4 linked regions of the Oryctolagus cuniculus genome follow. The protein of the gene in region 3 interacts with the protein of the main gene of each other region in a biochemical or structural test. Links are inferred from orthologs where the notes say so. Each region holds a gene or a part of one and is shown on either strand. Other genes may lie near its edges. The genes, in order: NPR2, NPR3, NPPB and NPR1.

Evidence for each region.
Region 1: the proteins of NPPB (region 3) and NPR2 form a complex in vitro, tested with the Homo sapiens proteins (3 studies listed by BioGRID). The link is inferred for Oryctolagus cuniculus from reciprocal best matches to the Homo sapiens genes NPPB and NPR2.
Region 2: the proteins of NPPB (region 3) and NPR3 form a complex in vitro, tested with the Homo sapiens proteins (4 studies listed by BioGRID, with this or other methods). The link is inferred for Oryctolagus cuniculus from reciprocal best matches to the Homo sapiens genes NPPB and NPR3.
Region 4: the proteins of NPPB (region 3) and NPR1 form a complex in vitro, tested with the Homo sapiens proteins (2 studies listed by BioGRID). The link is inferred for Oryctolagus cuniculus from reciprocal best matches to the Homo sapiens genes NPPB and NPR1.

What each region holds. Positions count from the first base shown.
Region 1 is NC_091432.1:198,702,331-198,706,457, reverse strand, and holds part of NPR2 (atrial natriuretic peptide receptor 2), read right to left. Parts: intron 2,408-4,127; coding exon 2,294-2,407; intron 2,051-2,293; coding exon 1,915-2,050; intron 1,678-1,914; coding exon 1,583-1,677; intron 1,388-1,582; coding exon 1,255-1,387; intron 1,058-1,254; coding exon 973-1,057; intron 589-972; coding exon 468-588; intron 307-467; coding exon 232-306; intron 26-231; coding exon 1-25. UniProt on the Homo sapiens protein: Receptor for the C-type natriuretic peptide NPPC/CNP hormone. Has guanylate cyclase activity upon binding of its ligand. May play a role in the regulation of skeletal growth.
Region 2 is NC_091445.1:58,878,609-58,882,735, reverse strand, and holds part of NPR3 (atrial natriuretic peptide receptor 3), read right to left. Parts: intron 3,827-4,127; coding exon 3,739-3,826; intron 2,758-3,738; coding exon 2,646-2,757; 3' UTR 1-2,645. UniProt on the Homo sapiens protein: Receptor for the natriuretic peptide hormones, binding with similar affinities atrial natriuretic peptide NPPA/ANP, brain natriuretic peptide NPPB/BNP, and C-type natriuretic peptide NPPC/CNP.
Region 3 is NC_091438.1:156,600,282-156,604,330, reverse strand, and holds NPPB (natriuretic peptides B), read right to left. Parts: upstream 2,175-4,049; 5' UTR 2,087-2,174; coding exon 1,958-2,086; intron 1,715-1,957; coding exon 1,450-1,714; intron 982-1,449; coding exon 965-981; 3' UTR 747-964; downstream 1-746.
Region 4 is NC_091438.1:44,634,343-44,638,469, forward strand, and holds part of NPR1 (atrial natriuretic peptide receptor 1), read right to left. Parts: intron 3,807-4,127; coding exon 3,732-3,806; intron 3,579-3,731; coding exon 3,501-3,578; intron 3,265-3,500; coding exon 3,160-3,264; intron 2,916-3,159; coding exon 2,844-2,915; intron 2,750-2,843; coding exon 2,593-2,749; intron 2,388-2,592; coding exon 2,232-2,387; intron 2,007-2,231; coding exon 1,838-2,006; intron 1,189-1,837; coding exon 1,042-1,188; intron 936-1,041; coding exon 812-935; intron 656-811; coding exon 587-655; intron 355-586; coding exon 180-354; intron 28-179; coding exon 1-27. UniProt on the Homo sapiens protein: Receptor for the atrial natriuretic peptide NPPA/ANP and the brain natriuretic peptide NPPB/BNP which are potent vasoactive hormones playing a key role in cardiovascular homeostasis.

The sequences.
Region 1 (4,127 bases), on a different chromosome or scaffold from region 3:
CGTGTTTGATGGCCACAACATTTCCCTGATGGCGAGGGTGGAAGGGGAAACGGAAAGTGAGTATCAGGTGTTTCTGGGCGCCAGGGAATACTGGAGAGCTGTGGGAGCGTCCAGGAGCTCAGCTGGGCACAGAGCGGGGGTCATGGGGGCAGCGGTCCAGGGGCAGAGGTGGCAGATGGGGATGAGACAGGATGAAATGGTGGGGACCAGAACAAGCGGACGACTGTTCACCTTGAAGTGACCGGTGTTGGCAAAGATCTGGTATTTCCCATGGGCTGTCATGAGCGAGCCGTAACTGGATCCCCGCTGGGGCCAAGGGCAACATGGAGGCGGAAGGATGAAAGGAACATTAGATGGTGGTGGCAGTGCAGGGGCTATCATTACAGGCCAGTGTGCTGGGAGAGGTCCAGGGAGAGAAAGGACAGCAACTCAGAGGGAGGCAGACGACCGCTGAGACGAGGGCTCACCAGCGACAGCGTGAGGCGGCTGCCTGCGCCTTTGTGACAGCGCTCTGAGTTGCCGAACTGCAGCTCTTCCCAGCGGATGCGCCACAGCATGCTGGCCAGCTCCTTCTCCAGCATCAGCTTCCTGTAAGGACTGCACACCTCAGCTGACTGGCAAGCCCCGCCCTGCCACCCCCTCAGCCACCGCGCGGCTGCAAGGTGCTCCAGCTGGTAGTCGAGGGCCACACGCGCCGAAAGTGCACGCCCCAGGCCCACTTCCAAACACACGGTGCACCCGAGGAAAATCACCTTTGACCTCGGCCCCACTCTAAATGACCAGTTAGCATGACCAGTCTAGAACCCAAAGTGGAACAGACTCCCAGCCTGAAGACAACGATGGAGAAAGGCCAGGGAGGACCTGCTGCCAGGTCTGAGAGGAGGCCCTGGCCCCTCCCCCACATTCTCGGGCCCAGCTGTCCTCGGAGGCTGTGTGGCATCGTGGCCGGCCAGGGAGGGGCCCAGAACTCACCGGAAAATCAGAAAGCTGGAAACGCCAAACATGATGAAGGTGATGCCTGTGCCCAGAGCCACAATGGCCAGTGTCGAGAGAGGAGCTGAAGGGGAGAGGGAGACCCTGAGAAAGACCATGGGGGCGGCGGGCTGCCCAGTGGGGAGGGGTGAGGCTCAGGTGGGGAGGAGCAGACAGATTTCCCGAGGGAAGTGAGCAAGGAGGGAGGGCAGCAGAGTGGAGAGGCAGCAGGGGTGGAGGCGAGGGGAGGAAGTGTAGCTCCCAGGCCCTGCACACACCCACTTTTATCACAGGATGGGTCGTCCAAGTCAAAGGCACAGGGGGGGTTGTCCAGGGGGGGTGCCCCCTTCACCCAGGCAATAGGCCGTTCTGTCCACCAGATCTGCTTCTCGGCTCCCGAGTAGTGGGCTGCAGGCTGCGAGGAAGCAGAAAGCTGGGCCCATGGGCCTGCTGCCCGAGACACTGCGATTCTGCTTGTCCCCCAGCCAGGAGGGGGCTCCCCCAGAGAAGATAAGCCCCTGCCTCTAGGCCCTTTGGCTCTGCCCTCCCTGGACTCTAGAAGGCTGACTTCTGCAAGGCCACCATCCCTTCCCTGCCCCTCCCCCATCACCTGGAAGTCCCCAGAATCCAGGTCTCCCATGGCCCACAGGACGAAATCGGTCTCCCGGTCATTGTTCTTGTCCATAACAACCAAGCCAGTCACACCTAAGAGAGCAAAGAGCAGCCGTTACTTTGAGGTCTACCCTAGAACCCCTCCTCTCCCCTGGCCCCTCCAGCTGCCTCAGAGCCTGTCCCCACCCCTGCCCCTGAGATGTGCCCACCCATGCCACGTCCTCCAGCCCCTGCTGATGCCCCCTGCTGCTCCGACCTGTTCTTGTTCTGCCCACTCCGCTCCTGAGCCTGGCCCCAGCCCTCAGGGGCGCTGTCAGCCCCGTTCCTTACCGTGGTACCTCCGGCCTTGCATCTTCTCCACAATCCGCAGCCCGTCCTCCCGGGTGCCTCCTTCCTGGAGGGTCTCGTTCAGGACTTCAGCATAGAGCAGGATGCCGTCGTAGAAGCAGCCAGCGATGAGGTTCATCTGGGGGTGGTAACTCTCTCCAAACATCCTGCCAGGCCCCTGCCCGACCCCCAGCTCTGGGCTCCCTTGGACCTCTTCTCACCTCTGCTTTACTTCCCCCCGCCCACTTCCACCTCACTGGACCCCGGGCCACGAGGAAATGCCCTGGATGGGAGCCACAGCCACCGCTGGATGCTGAGCTGGGGCAGAGGAGTCCTGCTCACAGGCCGGCCTCTCTCGGGGAGAGGAGAGGGAGCTGCTTACCAGGGAAGGGGCCAGCTCCACTCCGAAATCTTCTCGGGCTCTTATCAGCAGACGATTCTGGAATTCCTGATACTCGGGATTTGGGGGTTCTCGGTACGTGATCACCAGCACAGTCTGTACCAGCAGAATACGGGGAGAAGTGAATGGGATTCCAGGTGGGCAAGACTGGAGGCAGGACAGGGGGATTTGGTGAAATGTACATGATCTATAATACACAGGGGTGAGTCTGAAGGCTGAAAGGATACTAAGCTCTGTGTGTGTGTGTGTGTGTGCAAATGTGCACGTGCGGTGTGTTCAGTACCTCTGGGGGGAGGGGGCAGCACTCCTCCAGGAAAGGCAGACAGCACTGCTTGTGGGAAGGGGGAGACCAGGCAGTAACCGCAAAAGCCCATCATCTTCCCCAACTCCCTGCCACACCCAAGGCCTCTTGGCGAGCTGCCCGTGGTCTCACAGCCCCTCTTTTCCTCTCCTTTTGGGGTATCCGTCCACTATCGGGGAAAACACGGGTCATCTGCTCCTCCCTGGTGTGTTCATTACTGTCAACATTAGCAATAACACGATGACGTCATTGTTTGGGCCACTCAGACAGAGCGCCTGCGCCCGGTGAAGGAAAGAGATTCCAGGCTCTGGGCGGTACTTGGACGCCGCGATTCCACCTGTGAGAGGCTGAGTTCACACAGTTCGCCTGCAGAGGACACTTCCCACAAGCATCACTGTCTTGCTTAAGAGACATGTGTCACTGGGACAAACTCCCAGAAGTCACATGCCACACACCACACACATTTCACAGATAAGCAAACGGCATGTGGGCTCAGGCAGGCACACATCTCCCTGGCGCATGAGTCAGCACGTCCGTCCCTCATCAAAGTGCCTGCCCGGCTCCCGTGAGCCCCGCGGGTGGCCCCTGCCTTAGCTGCAGTCTCCGCTGAGACCAGTCCCTGCTCAGACACCAAACTGGCATCATAGGGTCAGGGAGAGACTTCAGCTCACCACGACTGTGAAGGCGGTAACTTAAAATCCAGGCACTTTGGCCAGTTTTATGCACTCCTGCCATGGAAAGCACACGCGGGCTGTGAGACCGCACCTGCATCCCCTGCGCGCACCATGAGCTGTCTGGGGAGGACTGACAGGCAGCGGAAGCCAACTTCCACCTCGCACTCATCGTATCAGACTGCGGTTTTCTCTGCAGCATGTGAGCGCTTGATCACACCCTTCTAACATCCTTCCACGCTCAGGCAAAACATAAAGGGGAGGAGGACGAAGGGTGAGGTGGGCAGGGTTCAGTAGGCGACACCTGCTGCAGAAATACAAGACATTCAGAGAGGCAGCGCACCGACGATGAAAAGCACAAGAGCTGGAGAAGAGATTTAATACAACTTGTATTTCACTTAAGGCTGAGGGTGGGTTTTTTATTCTCTAGGCTGCTTTGTTCCCTAGGCTGGCAGTTATCAAACATGTTGATCTCAAGATGGCCTGACAGCCTTACATGTTACTAAGGACCCTAAGAAACTTGTGTTTATGTGGAGTAAATCTACAGGTATTGGCCATATTATAAATTAAAGCTGATACACTTTGAGAACACAAGAGCACACAGGGGTCGGCATTGTGGCACAGCAGGTTAAGCTACTGTCTGTAACACAGGTATCCCGTATGAGCACCAGTCCAAGTCCCAGCTGCTCCACTTCCAACCCAGCTTCCTGGAAAGGCACCTGGGAAAGCAGTGGAAGACAGTCCAGGGGCTTGGGCCCCTGCACCCATGTTGGAGACCTGGATGAAGGTCCTGGCTCCTGGCTCCTGGTTTCAGCCTGGCCCAGCCCTTCCCGTTGCAGCCATT
Region 2 (4,127 bases), on a different chromosome or scaffold from region 3:
TCTGGCCTGAAGCATCAGCAACCCATATGGGCACCAGTTCTAGTCCCAGCTGCTCCATTTCCAATCCAGCTCTCTACTATGGCCTGGGAAAGCAGTAGAAGATGGCCCAAGTCCTTGGGCCCCTGCACCCATATGGGAGACCCGGAGGAAGCTCCTGGCTCCTGGCTTCAAATTGGCAATTGCCACCAATTGGGGAATGAACCAGCAGATGGAAGACCTCTCTCTCTCTCTCTCTTTCTCTCTCTGCCTCTCCTTCTCTCTCTGTGTAACTCTGACTCTCAAGTGAAAAATAAATAAATCTTTAAAAATATATACATATAATTATTCTTCTACCTGCAGTAGAAATAAAAGATATTTTCTCTAAAACTGCTGATGGACTATTATGTAAATTCTAGAAAGACTGGACACGTTCAGAACCCAAAGACTGAAGCCAGGTAGACAGTATTCCCACCCCCCGAAAATACAAATACAGGCTCAAAATGTGTTTTTTACCAACACAAAATAATAGAAAATTATTATCTCTAGAGGATAAGAAAACATCATGAAAAATTTGAATGAGAGAAATAAGCTCTCCAATTCCTGTGACTGAGAATAGAGCACTCTTTCCATTCTCTTCTCACCTGGGGGAGTCCCAAGCTGTCAAATGTTTTGCTGTCCTGGGTCTTATTTTCAAACCCTCTTCCTCCATTAGAATTTTTTGCGCCTGTCTTTCTTGCCTTCTTTTTCCATCCTTATTTGAATCCAGCACTCTTCTCTTTCTGTCTAGCAGGACGGACTACAACATTGTTTCAGTTCCTCGCAGTTAATTCTTCTACCCTGCCTTCCCATTCTGTCATGCCTGCATCCTGCATCCCATTTTTCAAACAATGGAGAGGAAAGGTGCCTCAGGCAGATATCATCAGTTCACTGTGATGGCTGTGGACAGAGGCAGACCCCTCTGGGGAAGCAATCGCTAGCCAAGATTTAAAATATGGAGCTGTCACTCACTTTTTCCTCTTCTGTTACCAGTGTGAGTTACAACCTCCATCACCACCAAGGAAGTGCTTAAACTCCCCTCTGTCCCTGTCTTTTATAGACACTAAGATCATTTGCAAAAATACTTTTCATATGCTCAAAATGTTGCTAGGAAATAACCTAATGACATTACAGGACAGCACTCTTACCTGACACTTCCCTTTCTTTCCTTGCTGTCTGTTTTCTCCACAGCTGTAGGTGAATGTGACAACCTGAGAATAAACCTATGTGCAGAGTACTGGGTGCAAAGCAGATATCCAGGAAATCCCTACAAATCATCCCAATGCCTTACACCCACACCCAACCCACTGTCACACAGGTTATTGGTGGATGCCTGTAAAACTGCAGAGTAGACTGAGAATGAATACTCATATAGAAGGTACTTAGATTACCCCCATAAACTTTTAAAGTAAAAGAGTGTTATTAAAGGGAAAAAAATCCAAACTCATCATTGTGAATTCTGGTAAATGCCATGCATTTTTTTTTTATCAATTCCATCCTTCTGTCAAGTTCTAAGTCTTTCTTAAGTTATTCTTGAGGGAGAAGGGCTACCTCCCTTTAAAATTTTGCCTAATTATAATCTCTTTTCACTCTGGATCTTGAAACACCATTTGGTCAGAACTGGAAGGGATGCAGCCCAGCAATAGATTGCATTTTAAATGGTTCAAAATGCAAATGGTTTAAAAATGAATGTACTCCTATAGAGTTTGCAATCTACATACATCTTTAGATCTCTGTAATTAAAGCAGCAATTGGCATTTGGCTATGACCAGGAGAAGGAGGAAACAGAGAAAAAGAAAAGCATCTTTCTTTGATCATTACTGGCTTGTTATACACTTGACCCATGCTTTTAAAATATAAGTGAAATTTAATCTTCAAACTGAAAAAATAGACATAATTTCTAACATCAAAATATAAGATTAAGATAGTTAAAAATAAAAATGTTAGTGTGAAATAGGGCTTTTTTTTACACACAAAATTCAGATTTGCTTTTCTTGTATAAATCTTCCTACCTCACTAATATTTACAACTTTTCAGAGTAGCTCTTATGAGACACTGAAGGAGACAAGGAAAAAATGCTTTTCCAGATTCAAAGTCAGAACCTGATTGCAGACATTGGACACAGCAATCCTCAACCATCTCTCTGCCAGCTCTAGAGAGAGTGATGGTGTATTCCCAACCCTGGGATTTTCTCATTACATTTCCTTCTTATTGGGTGTCAAACTCTTCCCAAGAATATTCTACTTGTAAAAATGATTTTATTCTAGCTACAAAACATTTCATGTAGGAAAACCACATTTTATGTCCTTGTGTGAAATGTCCCCAAGAGCCATCAAGATATGGAGACATCAGATTTTAAAACATAAATCTAATTATATGCCCTTGAAGCAGTATGAACACTTAGCAAAGTGACATTATATTCTTATATTTGTTTGTCATGAGATGAAAGGCCGGGAGCCAGATCATGATTAATAATAGTTCCTGAGCTTCTAAAGAATGTTTAAAATGAAATGACTGCTTAAAAGAATGAATGCTTCAAGAACACCCCTTCTGTTCCACTGATGTCTTTCATCCCAGCTATCTCCTTAAGTAACCTCAGGCAGAAAGGGGAAAAAAAAATTAAGCTTCTTTTAAGCCACCGAAAAATGGGATCTGATGGAATCTTCTCGTAACTCCCGATGTTTTCCAACGTTACTTTCTTCTTGCTGGTTTCGCCTCTCAATGGTTATTCTGTATTTCTTCCTGGGTAAAGGGAAAGTGAATGCAGTAATAAAACATCTCTTGGTTACAAAATACTGGGGTTTCTCTTACAAAGAATGCCCTCAGGGGACATCTGGGTTTGGTTTGACAAATGAGAAGTGACAGAATATGAAACCCTGGTCAGAGATTAAAGTAGTGTGCCCAAGGCACTATGCCCTCTTTCAAGGGGGAAAGTCGGCATGCTTTCCAAAATGCCAGAGAACAAGACCTCCCCTTCTTCCCTGAGTGCCTTGTGGGGTTAAGTCTTGTCACTTCTGCCACAGACACACTCCCTGACTCCCAGGAAATGCCCTAGATAAAGATCAGATTAAGTACAGTGGGACCGAAGGAGTACAGCTGTTCCCACAAGGGGTCCCATCCACCCAGAGTCTAATGATCTATAAGTCACAAACTCAACCACCAAAGGTTACAAAGGAAGGGGCTGCCCTTGGAGCGTGGAACAATGGCTGCCTTGAACACACGCACCTTTTAGAATTGTGCAAGTCCTGAGGCTACCCCACAGTGAGCTAAGCTCACAGGGCTCCAAATACGAAGCCCAGATCAGCCTGGGAGCACAGACTACTCCCAGCTCCCTCCTTCCCTTTAGGAAGGTTAAGTCAAGCCTCTATTTCTGAATTGGAAACAGTCTGAGAACAAGAAAGTTGATTTTCCCCTTTGTCCAGATTCCTTCTCCATGTGTGCATTTGGTGAGTGGTAGGAATTGCTGTCGAAATATCTGTGAACTAAGGACAGCAATGGCTCTCTGGCCTTTAGGGTAAGGCACTGGAATATCGTAACTCTAATAACCAACAATGCTAACCCACTGACCACCAAATCCAGGGTCACACCAAAAGGACTGCTTAGGTCTTCTAACCACCAGGCTTCTTGGGTGTAAGAAAGATGTGGACAAGTCACAAGGGGGATCATGCCAAGACAAGTGACAAAGGCAGTCAAAGGAGAGTGAATTGTATAAACAATTCTCACCTGAAAAAGTAGAAGGCCATTAGCAACCCAGCTCCCAGTAGGGCCCCTACAACAATGCCTGTCACCGCTGATTCTTCTAGACCACCTGCTTGAAAAGAAGCATAGATAATCAGGGTTCACTTTGAGAAGGAGTTAGAAATGCCTCAAGGTTCCTTCAAGGAAGGTGTTTCTCAGTTTCCTAGTTGCTGCAAATGTTCTTTTTTCTTTCTTTTTTTTTTTTTTTTTTTTAGAAAGATATTCTAGGAGATCCTGCACTTTTATCTTTCTTATCCAAGTGCAAAGCTTAAGAAGCCTTTGAGAAAGTATTAGAAAAACAATCACAAGAGAGAGGACAAGATGGGAAAAGTAGCAGATTGAAGAGGGGTCTAAGGGGAGCGCTGGAGTTGTGG
Region 3 (4,049 bases):
TGCAAATCCCAGCTCTCAGGGAGGGTGTCTGATATTTTAGGCCTCAGTTTTCTCATCTGGAAAATGGGGCTAAGAATAGACCTGACTTCATGGTGCCTTACCCAGCAGCACCATCTGAGCTCAGATCCTAAGTGGTGGTGTGGGAGGAGACAGCCTGGGCTAAGGCCTGGGCGCCTGGACACAGGGCAGGGTTCTGCAGGACAGCTGGAGAGGAAGTGTTGGCGTGGGGGTGCACCCCGAGAACTTGAGCCTCCTGCCAGACCCCTGGGTTGGGTTTTGAGGGTCTTTTCCAGGATGACATCAGGAGTTGGAGGTCTGAAGTTGAAATTTGGGGAAGGATGGAGGCTCACCCCAACTTGGGAACGCAACACACACGAAACCCCCAGCGTCTGACTTGCTAGTTCAGGCTTCGGAAACAACTGTTGCCAGGGAAAGTCAGCGAGGGTGGGGCTAGGGTGGGCTTCCAGGCAGGGGCTCGCACCCTGGCCCAGGCCGGGGCCGTTCCACTCCCTGGGAGAAGCTGCCCTGCCCCAAGACACAGGCGCTGGCCATTGCGGCCACTTCAGAGCGTTTGACACCCCGACAGGAAAGAAAGCACTCCACGTCCCGCCACTGGCCCAGCCCTTAGGGCCGCATCCCAACCCCACCATCAAGACACCGCTGGGACCTTCAACAAACACAGGGTTTTGTTTGGTTTGTTGTTGCTAAAATGAGCAGCAGTTATAAACACACGGAAACAAATCAGCTTCGAAGAAAGGCTGTCGTGTTGATTTTATTTCTCTGCGGAAATTGTGTGCGCCATGGTTAATAAATCGTCTTTTAGAAAATGATCAAGTAAAAATTAATAAATACATAAATAAATAAATAGGAGCCGCTCCAAAGGGGTGGGGGTCGTGGACCGGGGGAGGCGTCCCTTGTGGAGTCCAGAGCGGTTATCTGCAGCCGGCGTTCTTTCTAGTGCTCTCTAGTGTTTCCTGAGCACTGCGGAGAGAAGAGAGAGGTGGTGAAGGGCCTGCGACGGGGAGACGGAGGTGGAAGCTGAGCTTGGTGTGTGAGGCTTTGGAATTTCTAGACCTCAGCTTCCTGGTCCATACACGGGGTCGGGGGGTGGCATCACCCTGGCGATCCCGCCCTTGCCCTCGAAGCTCTAGAAGGTGTAGGGAAAACCAGATTACACGTCTGGGACTCCAGTGAGCAGACTGCACCCCAAGGAGACTCTTCTGGCCCCTTGGATGAAAGGCGCAGGGGTGGATGCAGAGGGGCTGGGGACGCGGGCGGGGTGATGGGTGGGGTCCTCAATGAGTGTTTCCAGAAAGGCACCCTTCAGCAAGAGGGGGTGCGATCCAGGCGTCCCAGACAACAAACCAGAAGTGACTCTCAGGCTGACAGCCGGGGGCAGGGCTGGGCGTGCAGCTCCCCAGCCCAGACCCGACGCAGATGGGGGCTCACCATTGCAGCCCAGGCCGCTGAAGGAGCCAATCCGGTCCATCCTCCGCCCGAAGCAGCCTGAGTCCCGCATCCGCTTGGGGCCATGGAGTCTCCGCAGGGTCTGGCGGGCCTCATCCAGGGGCACAGGGCTGCCTGCAGGGGCCGCCTCTCTGGTCTCCTGGGTCTCCCAGGTTTTCGCCGTGCCTCCGTCTTGCTGGGTAGGCTCCAGGGTCGTCTGCTGTGCCTGCAGCTGGGAGACCTTGTTCCGGAGACGGCCCAGCAGCTGCTGTGGTGGGCAGAAACCAGAGGCTCGGGATCTCCCACCTGGGCTCACCCTCCCCATGGTGCCCAAGTGAATCCACCCACAGCACTGTGTCCAGGGACCTGGAGTAACTCTCTCCGCTTTCTGATTCTCCCATTGATTCCCGAGGGAGCGTGGAGACCCTAGGGACGGCAGCTGGGCACCCTTTCCTTGCTGCTGTCCAAGCCCTCCAGGGCGCTCACATCTATGCAGCCCCTCTGCACTCACCTGTATCTCAGAAAGTTCTGAGGAGGTTTTGCTGGGGCTGCCCAGCGGGTGGGGACGACACCTCTGCGGGGACAGGTGCAAGAAGAGGAGGAGCAGGAGAGCCCGGGAGAGCCCCGTCGGGAGGTCCATGTTGCTGGGGAGAGCGGCTGCTGCGGGGTGCGCGGGTTCCTGTCCCACCTCTGGGAGGCCAGCAAGTGCTCTCCTGGCTGCTCCGCGAACCGCGCGCGGCCTTTTATTCCGGAGCTGAGTGTCCAGCCGGTCCTTCCCTGGCCGAGGGGCGGGGGCGCCGTTATCTCTGATTTATCAGCCACATTCCGGCCCGCTGAGCTCAGGGCCGGGAATGCGCCCCTCCGCGCTGGCGGTGGAGGCTGGGGAGAGCAGGCCTTGTATAGAAATGGGCTGGGCCGGGGGCGGGCGCGCGGGGGCCCCTGCACGTACCCGGTTCCCGCTTCCTCCCTTCCTGCGAGAATCCGGGGCCCTCGCGTGGCGCTCTCTTCTTCTCTCTCCACCCCAGTCATCGCTGGAAAGGGCAGGGAGAAGCCCAGGACCGCCCCGGGCTGAGCCCCTTACCCCGGGAGCCGGCGGCCCGCGGGACTCCGGCTCGCAGCCGCTGGGTGCGGGGGCGCTGGCCGTGGTGCTGATCGCGCCAAGCGAGCGAGGCGCAAACTCTCAGAATCCGCCCTTCTCACCCGGGGTTTCCAAGCCCGGAAGACCTTCAGGGGACAGAGGACAAGAGACCTCCAAGACCTCCCTCGCGCTCTCACTATCCCCATCCCCCACCATGAGCCTCGTGATACTGGGATGCAATTCTTCAGCGTCAACTGACTAAAAACCTGGTTATGACAAGGAAGTTGTGGAATGCTGACCCTTCCTCCTTCTCGTAAAGGACAGAATTGATTTGGCCTGGCTGGAATTTCAAGAGCAAGTCCAGAGATGAAGTCACCAGGAATGCACTCTGGGCACCTCATCCAGGTGCCAACACCTTCCCCACGCCCAGACAATGCAGGATGGAAATAGAGGGTGATCAGAGGGTGCATGTACCCTTCCCAGTGCCCCCTTCACTGGATCACCCACAGACTAATTCCCATCTGCAGGTGGCCTAGGGCCCCTCTGTTATTAGAAATGAGAATCAGAGAAATGGCCTTGGGAAGGGACACAGCAGCATAAAGAACCTCCCCCCAACCCCCCAAGCCATGACCCCATCTGTGTTAACAAGCAGCAGCAGCAGCAACAGGCTGGTCTGGGGTAGGGCTGGCAGAGGCAGGAAAGGGACAAACTTCTCCTGAAAGCTGGCGGCTGCCGGGTGAAAGCCACTCCGAAGAATCAACCTGCTTTGCAGAGGTCACACGATTGACAAATAGTAAGTCCTGGTTTCCCAACCAGCTGTCAGGTTCCAGCCCCACAGTTCTTATAAACTGCCGTGGTGGTCAGAAGGTGTTTCTTCAAAAAGAAAGCTTTGTTGGACCCCTTGTCATCGATGAAGGCTCAGGGAGCTGGGCTGCTTTGTGGAGTGTGGGCCTGGATGTGCAGGGGAAGGAAGGTGTGGGCTAAGGTGAGCATTTTGTAGAAGAAGATGGGGGGGTCAATGAGGACTGCATGATGATGGCAGTTCTGGGCAGGTCGTGCGGGGGCTGTGGCTGTGTGTGTGTGAGTGTGTGCGTGTGCATGCCACAGGAAGTCTATCCCTAGGTGAAGTGGACATGAGGGAGGCAACAAAATACAGCCCAGGGTATAGAGCTGAGTCGGAGCCAGGGAGCGGGGCTGCTGAGGGCCTTGAGTCCATTATGCTGGATGTCATAGGGTGAAGGGTCATGGGGAGCCAGAACCCATCACCAACACCTATCAAGAGTGAATTCTGGCCGGTGCCACGGCTCACCAAGCTAATCCACCACCTGCGGCGCCAGTACTCCAGGTTCTAGTCCCGATTGGGGCACCAGATTCTGTCCCAGATGCTCCTCTTTTAGTCCAGCTCTCTGCTGCGGCCCGGGAAGGAGTGGAGGATGGCCCAAGTGCTTGGGCCCTGCACCCACATGGGGGACCTGGAGGAAGCACCTGGCTCCTGGCTTCAGATCGGCACAGCAAGCCGTCTGTG
Region 4 (4,127 bases), about 110 Mb from region 3:
GCCCTACCACGCCGGCACACACAGGTCCTGGGAGGAGCAAGGGAGGAAGTGGGGCCTGTCGATGAGCGTGTTAAAGGAGATGGGTGGATGCTCCAGGAGAGGCAGGGGGTGGGATATGAGGTCCCGGATCTGCACAGCTCCAGCCCTTGCAATCCTGCCCCTAACGCCAGGGGCCTCACCTGTGTGGATGCCGATGCGCAAGCGCAGCTGCTCCTGAGGCCGGTGGCGGATGCGGAAGGAGCGCACGGCGTCCAGCAGCGCCAGCGCCATGCGGGCCACCTCGCGGGCGTGGAGCCGCCCATTCCGCACTGGGAGCCCTGACACCACCATGTAGGCATCTCCGATGGTCTCCACCTGTGCGGGCAGCAGAGCCAGCGCTCTCTTCCCTGTGCCTACGGCCACACCGCACACACCATCTGCCTGCACCGTGCTCACCCTCCAGCCTGCACTGTTTCCTGGGTCTCCCTGTGCCGCTGTCTGCCCATGTCCCGGGTCTCTTCTCCTAAGACCCCACGTTATTCTGCCTTCCTTGCACCTTCTCTGACCTTGTCTGTCTGTCCCTCCCCCTCCTCACTCACACCCTCACCTTGTACACATCGAAGTTGTCAATGACAGCATCAAAGCAAGTGTACAGGTCATTGAGCAGGGTCACCACCTGGAAGGGAAGAGACGCCGGTCGGGAGTGAGGGGACCCCCCCACTCACCCACCCACCCTGGAGGTCTGGAGGGAAAAGCAGGTGAGGAGGGGCATGGAGATGCGAAGCCAAGCCCACCGGCCTGGTTTGACGCCTGTGGCTGAGCTATGTCTTACCTGCATGGGCGTGCTCTCCGCCGACAGGGCTGTGAACCCCACAATGTCACTGAAGTAGATGGTGACGCTGTCAAAGGCCTCAGCCTGGACTGTCTCCCCGCGCTTCAACTGCTCAGCCACGGAGCTGCGGTGTGAGGGCAGGTGCGGGGTCAGGGAGCGAGGTGGGGCCCCGGGACGGGGTGCGTGCACGTGCGCACGTGGGGGGGGGGGTGTCAGACACAGGGACTCACTGCGGCAGAATCTGGTAGAGCAGCGCCTCGGCCTTGCGCTTCTCCTCCAGGTAGGCCTGGGTGCGCTCCTCCACCAGCTCCTCCAGGTTGTTGGCGTACTGTTCCATGCGCGAGAGCAGGTTGTCCAGGATGTTGCTGCTGTTCTCCCTGGGGGGCGGGGGCGGTGAGAGAGGAGCTGCACCCCCCAGAGCTCCCCCACCCAGGTTTAATGTCAGCCCACACAGCTGCAGCAGCGGTTGGCGGCAGGGGTCCCTGGGGAGGGCCAGGGTCTGGAACACAGCAGGATGCGGAGAGCAGGGGAAAGGGTAGGAAGAAAGTTCTGTTCATGTCTGAGGCCCCAGGGTCACACGTGAAGCCTCAGGACACATCAGTAGTTGGTCTTTGTTGGACTTAAGTGCATTAGTAAGAGATAGAGGCAGTGGAGAGGGATGGAGGGAGGGGCACGCAGGCAGCGGAGGGGTGTGTCTGGAACTGAGCCCCAGTGGGCACCATGGGAAGGGGAGTGCATGAGGCTGGGCTGGGAGCTGCTTCGGAGGCCCAGGAGATGTGGCCCGTTTCCTCTGCACGCCACTGCAAAGTCTGGTGGCCAGTGTGTCAGGTGGGTGGAGGAGTGGGGTTTGAGTGGCAGGGCGCTGTGGGGACAGCTGGCCATGCAGTAGGTGTGAGAGGGTTGCCAGGCTGTGGTGGGCTGCAGCGGGCTATGCAGGGGGGAGCTGTGAGTGGGCTCTTTCTGCCCGGTGGCAGGGGGTGGAGGGGAAGTGGAAGTGTGGGATGCACGGCGGCTACCAGTGGCGACCTGTTAAACTTGCGTAGTGTCAGGCGGATCTGCTGGAAGGGTGGCCGCTCCTGGGGGTCCTCGGCCCAGCACCGCTGCATGAGCTGCCCCAGCTCCTCCATGTGGCTCTGCAGGGCCAGGGAGGGCCGGAATGGGGGCTGCTCACCCCGGGTCACACGCTCGATGATCTCTGTATCGTGGGGGAGGGGGCGGCTGAGGGGTGGGGTCCGCCAAGGGTCCAGTGACAGACTGGGGGCAGCCAGCTGGGTCAGGGCAAAGGTGGAGGAGCTGGGCAGGGGACTGGGCACTGGAGGCAGTGGAAGGAAGGTCTGGGGCCGCTTCCAGGGGTCCGTCTCCCTGAGGCTGGGGTTAGTCGAGACCACGGAGGGAACAGTGGAAAGCATGGTCCTCTCACCTTTGGGGCTGAGGTCCAGACCCTCCACGTGGAAGACCCCACTCCGCAGGGCAATCTCTTGAAGGATGATCCCGAAGCTGTAGATGTCACCGGCCTGGGAGCCGCGGGCGGGGGGTGACGCCATTCGCAGCAGCTCGGGCGCTGTCCACAGCTTTTCTGTGGGTCAGAGGTCAGGAGTCACAGAGGGGCAAAGGGGAGAAACAAGAAGCACGTGGCTGGGGCTGATCTGGAGCCATGGCATGGAGAGCTGGAAGAGGCCTCCTCCTTTCCCTAGGGAACAAAGGAAGCCTGCAGTCGGGTGTGGCACGCCCAAGCCCCGCCGCCCTGCTGGGCTGTGCAGGAGTCGAGAGTCGGGGCTCACTGGCGTAGATGGTGTGTCCTTGCTCCGGCTCTGGGTCCCTGAAGCTCTCCAGCCCGTAGTCGGTGATCTTGAGCACAAAGCGCCCGTCTACCACACAGTTGGATGACTTGAGGTTCCCATGGGAGCAGATGGCCCCGTTGTGAAGGAACAGCATCCCCTGGGAGGGGCAGAGGTGTGGGCACGGGTGGGGCCGACACAGTGGCAGAGGAGCAGCCACCTGCCCGCCTCCCCCGGGGGGCCCTCGGGCCTACCTTGACAATGTCATTGGTGAGCGAGTAGCGGAACATCCAGTCCAGGGTGATGCTCTCGTTCTCGAGGATGTCCTGCTGGGCAGCGGGAGTCAGACTGTGCCCTGCAAGCCCCCTGGGAGCAGGAGGAGGGTGCAGGGGGCCTATGGTGAAAGCTGGTACGCTAGGACGCTTTGGAATTACGCCAGTGCCAGCGCCCTCCCCTACTCCTGTTTTACAACTGGGGCTGGTGGGGGTCAGAAGGAGGGAGGGGCTTGCCCCTCAGGCCCAGAGCCAGGGCTTAGGACCCAGGTTTCTTGACACCCGACATCCCTCTCACCTGCAGGCTCCCACGAGGACAGTACTCTGTGAGGATACAGATGTTGGGGGGATCGGTGCAGGCACCCACAAACCTGGTCAGGTGTTCGTTCTGCACATCCCGCATCTGCCGGGTGGGGGCAGCATCAGGGGCCTGACAGGGACCCTCACTCTGTTCATTTTCTGCAGAGCCCTCTCCCAGAATCCGCTGCCCACGCCCTTCTGAAGCGTCCACCCTGCAGGGGTCTCACATACGGCCCTTCTCCCCCGCCCCAGGATCCCCCTGAGCTCCACACTTTCAACCTCTGTGCCCCCCCAACCGGGGGGCGGTCCCCAGGCCACAGCCTCACTCCCCCACATTACATGCTTCAGTTCAAACAGGACTTTGCGTGTCAGCTCAATGCGTTTCCGGTTCACACGTTTCACGGCCACGAGGTTGCCCTGGGCCAGGAACGGAGACGGTCACTGTGCAGAGCCTGGTCCAGTGCCCCTGGAACACCAGTTGCCCACCCTGCACCCAGGACCCTCCCGCAGCCCTCCGCCAGAGCACGCCCCTGCCCCAGGCCTGAGGACCAGGTGCTTCCCTGGGCCCACCTTATAATAGGCTGTCTTGGCAAAGATTTGGAACTGGCCCTCTGTGGTTAGCAAGGATCCGTAGTTGGAGCCTCTCTGAGGAGATGGAGAGCAGAAGGGGAGGTCAGCCCGGCGCCCGGCCTGAGCTCTGGACTTCAGCTCCCCCCATAATCCTCGCTGGACCCTCTCTGCTGTGGCCTGGGAAAGCAGCAGAAGATGGCCCAAGCCCATGGGCCCCTGCACCCATGTGGGAGACCCAGAAGAAGCTCCTGGCTCCTGGCTTCGGATTGGCACAGTTGCGGCCATTGCAGTCATCTGGGGAGTGAACCAGCAGATGGAAGACCACTGTCTGTCTTTCTGTCTGTCTATGTCTCTGCCTCTCTGTAACTCTGCCTTTCAAACAAATAAATATTTTTT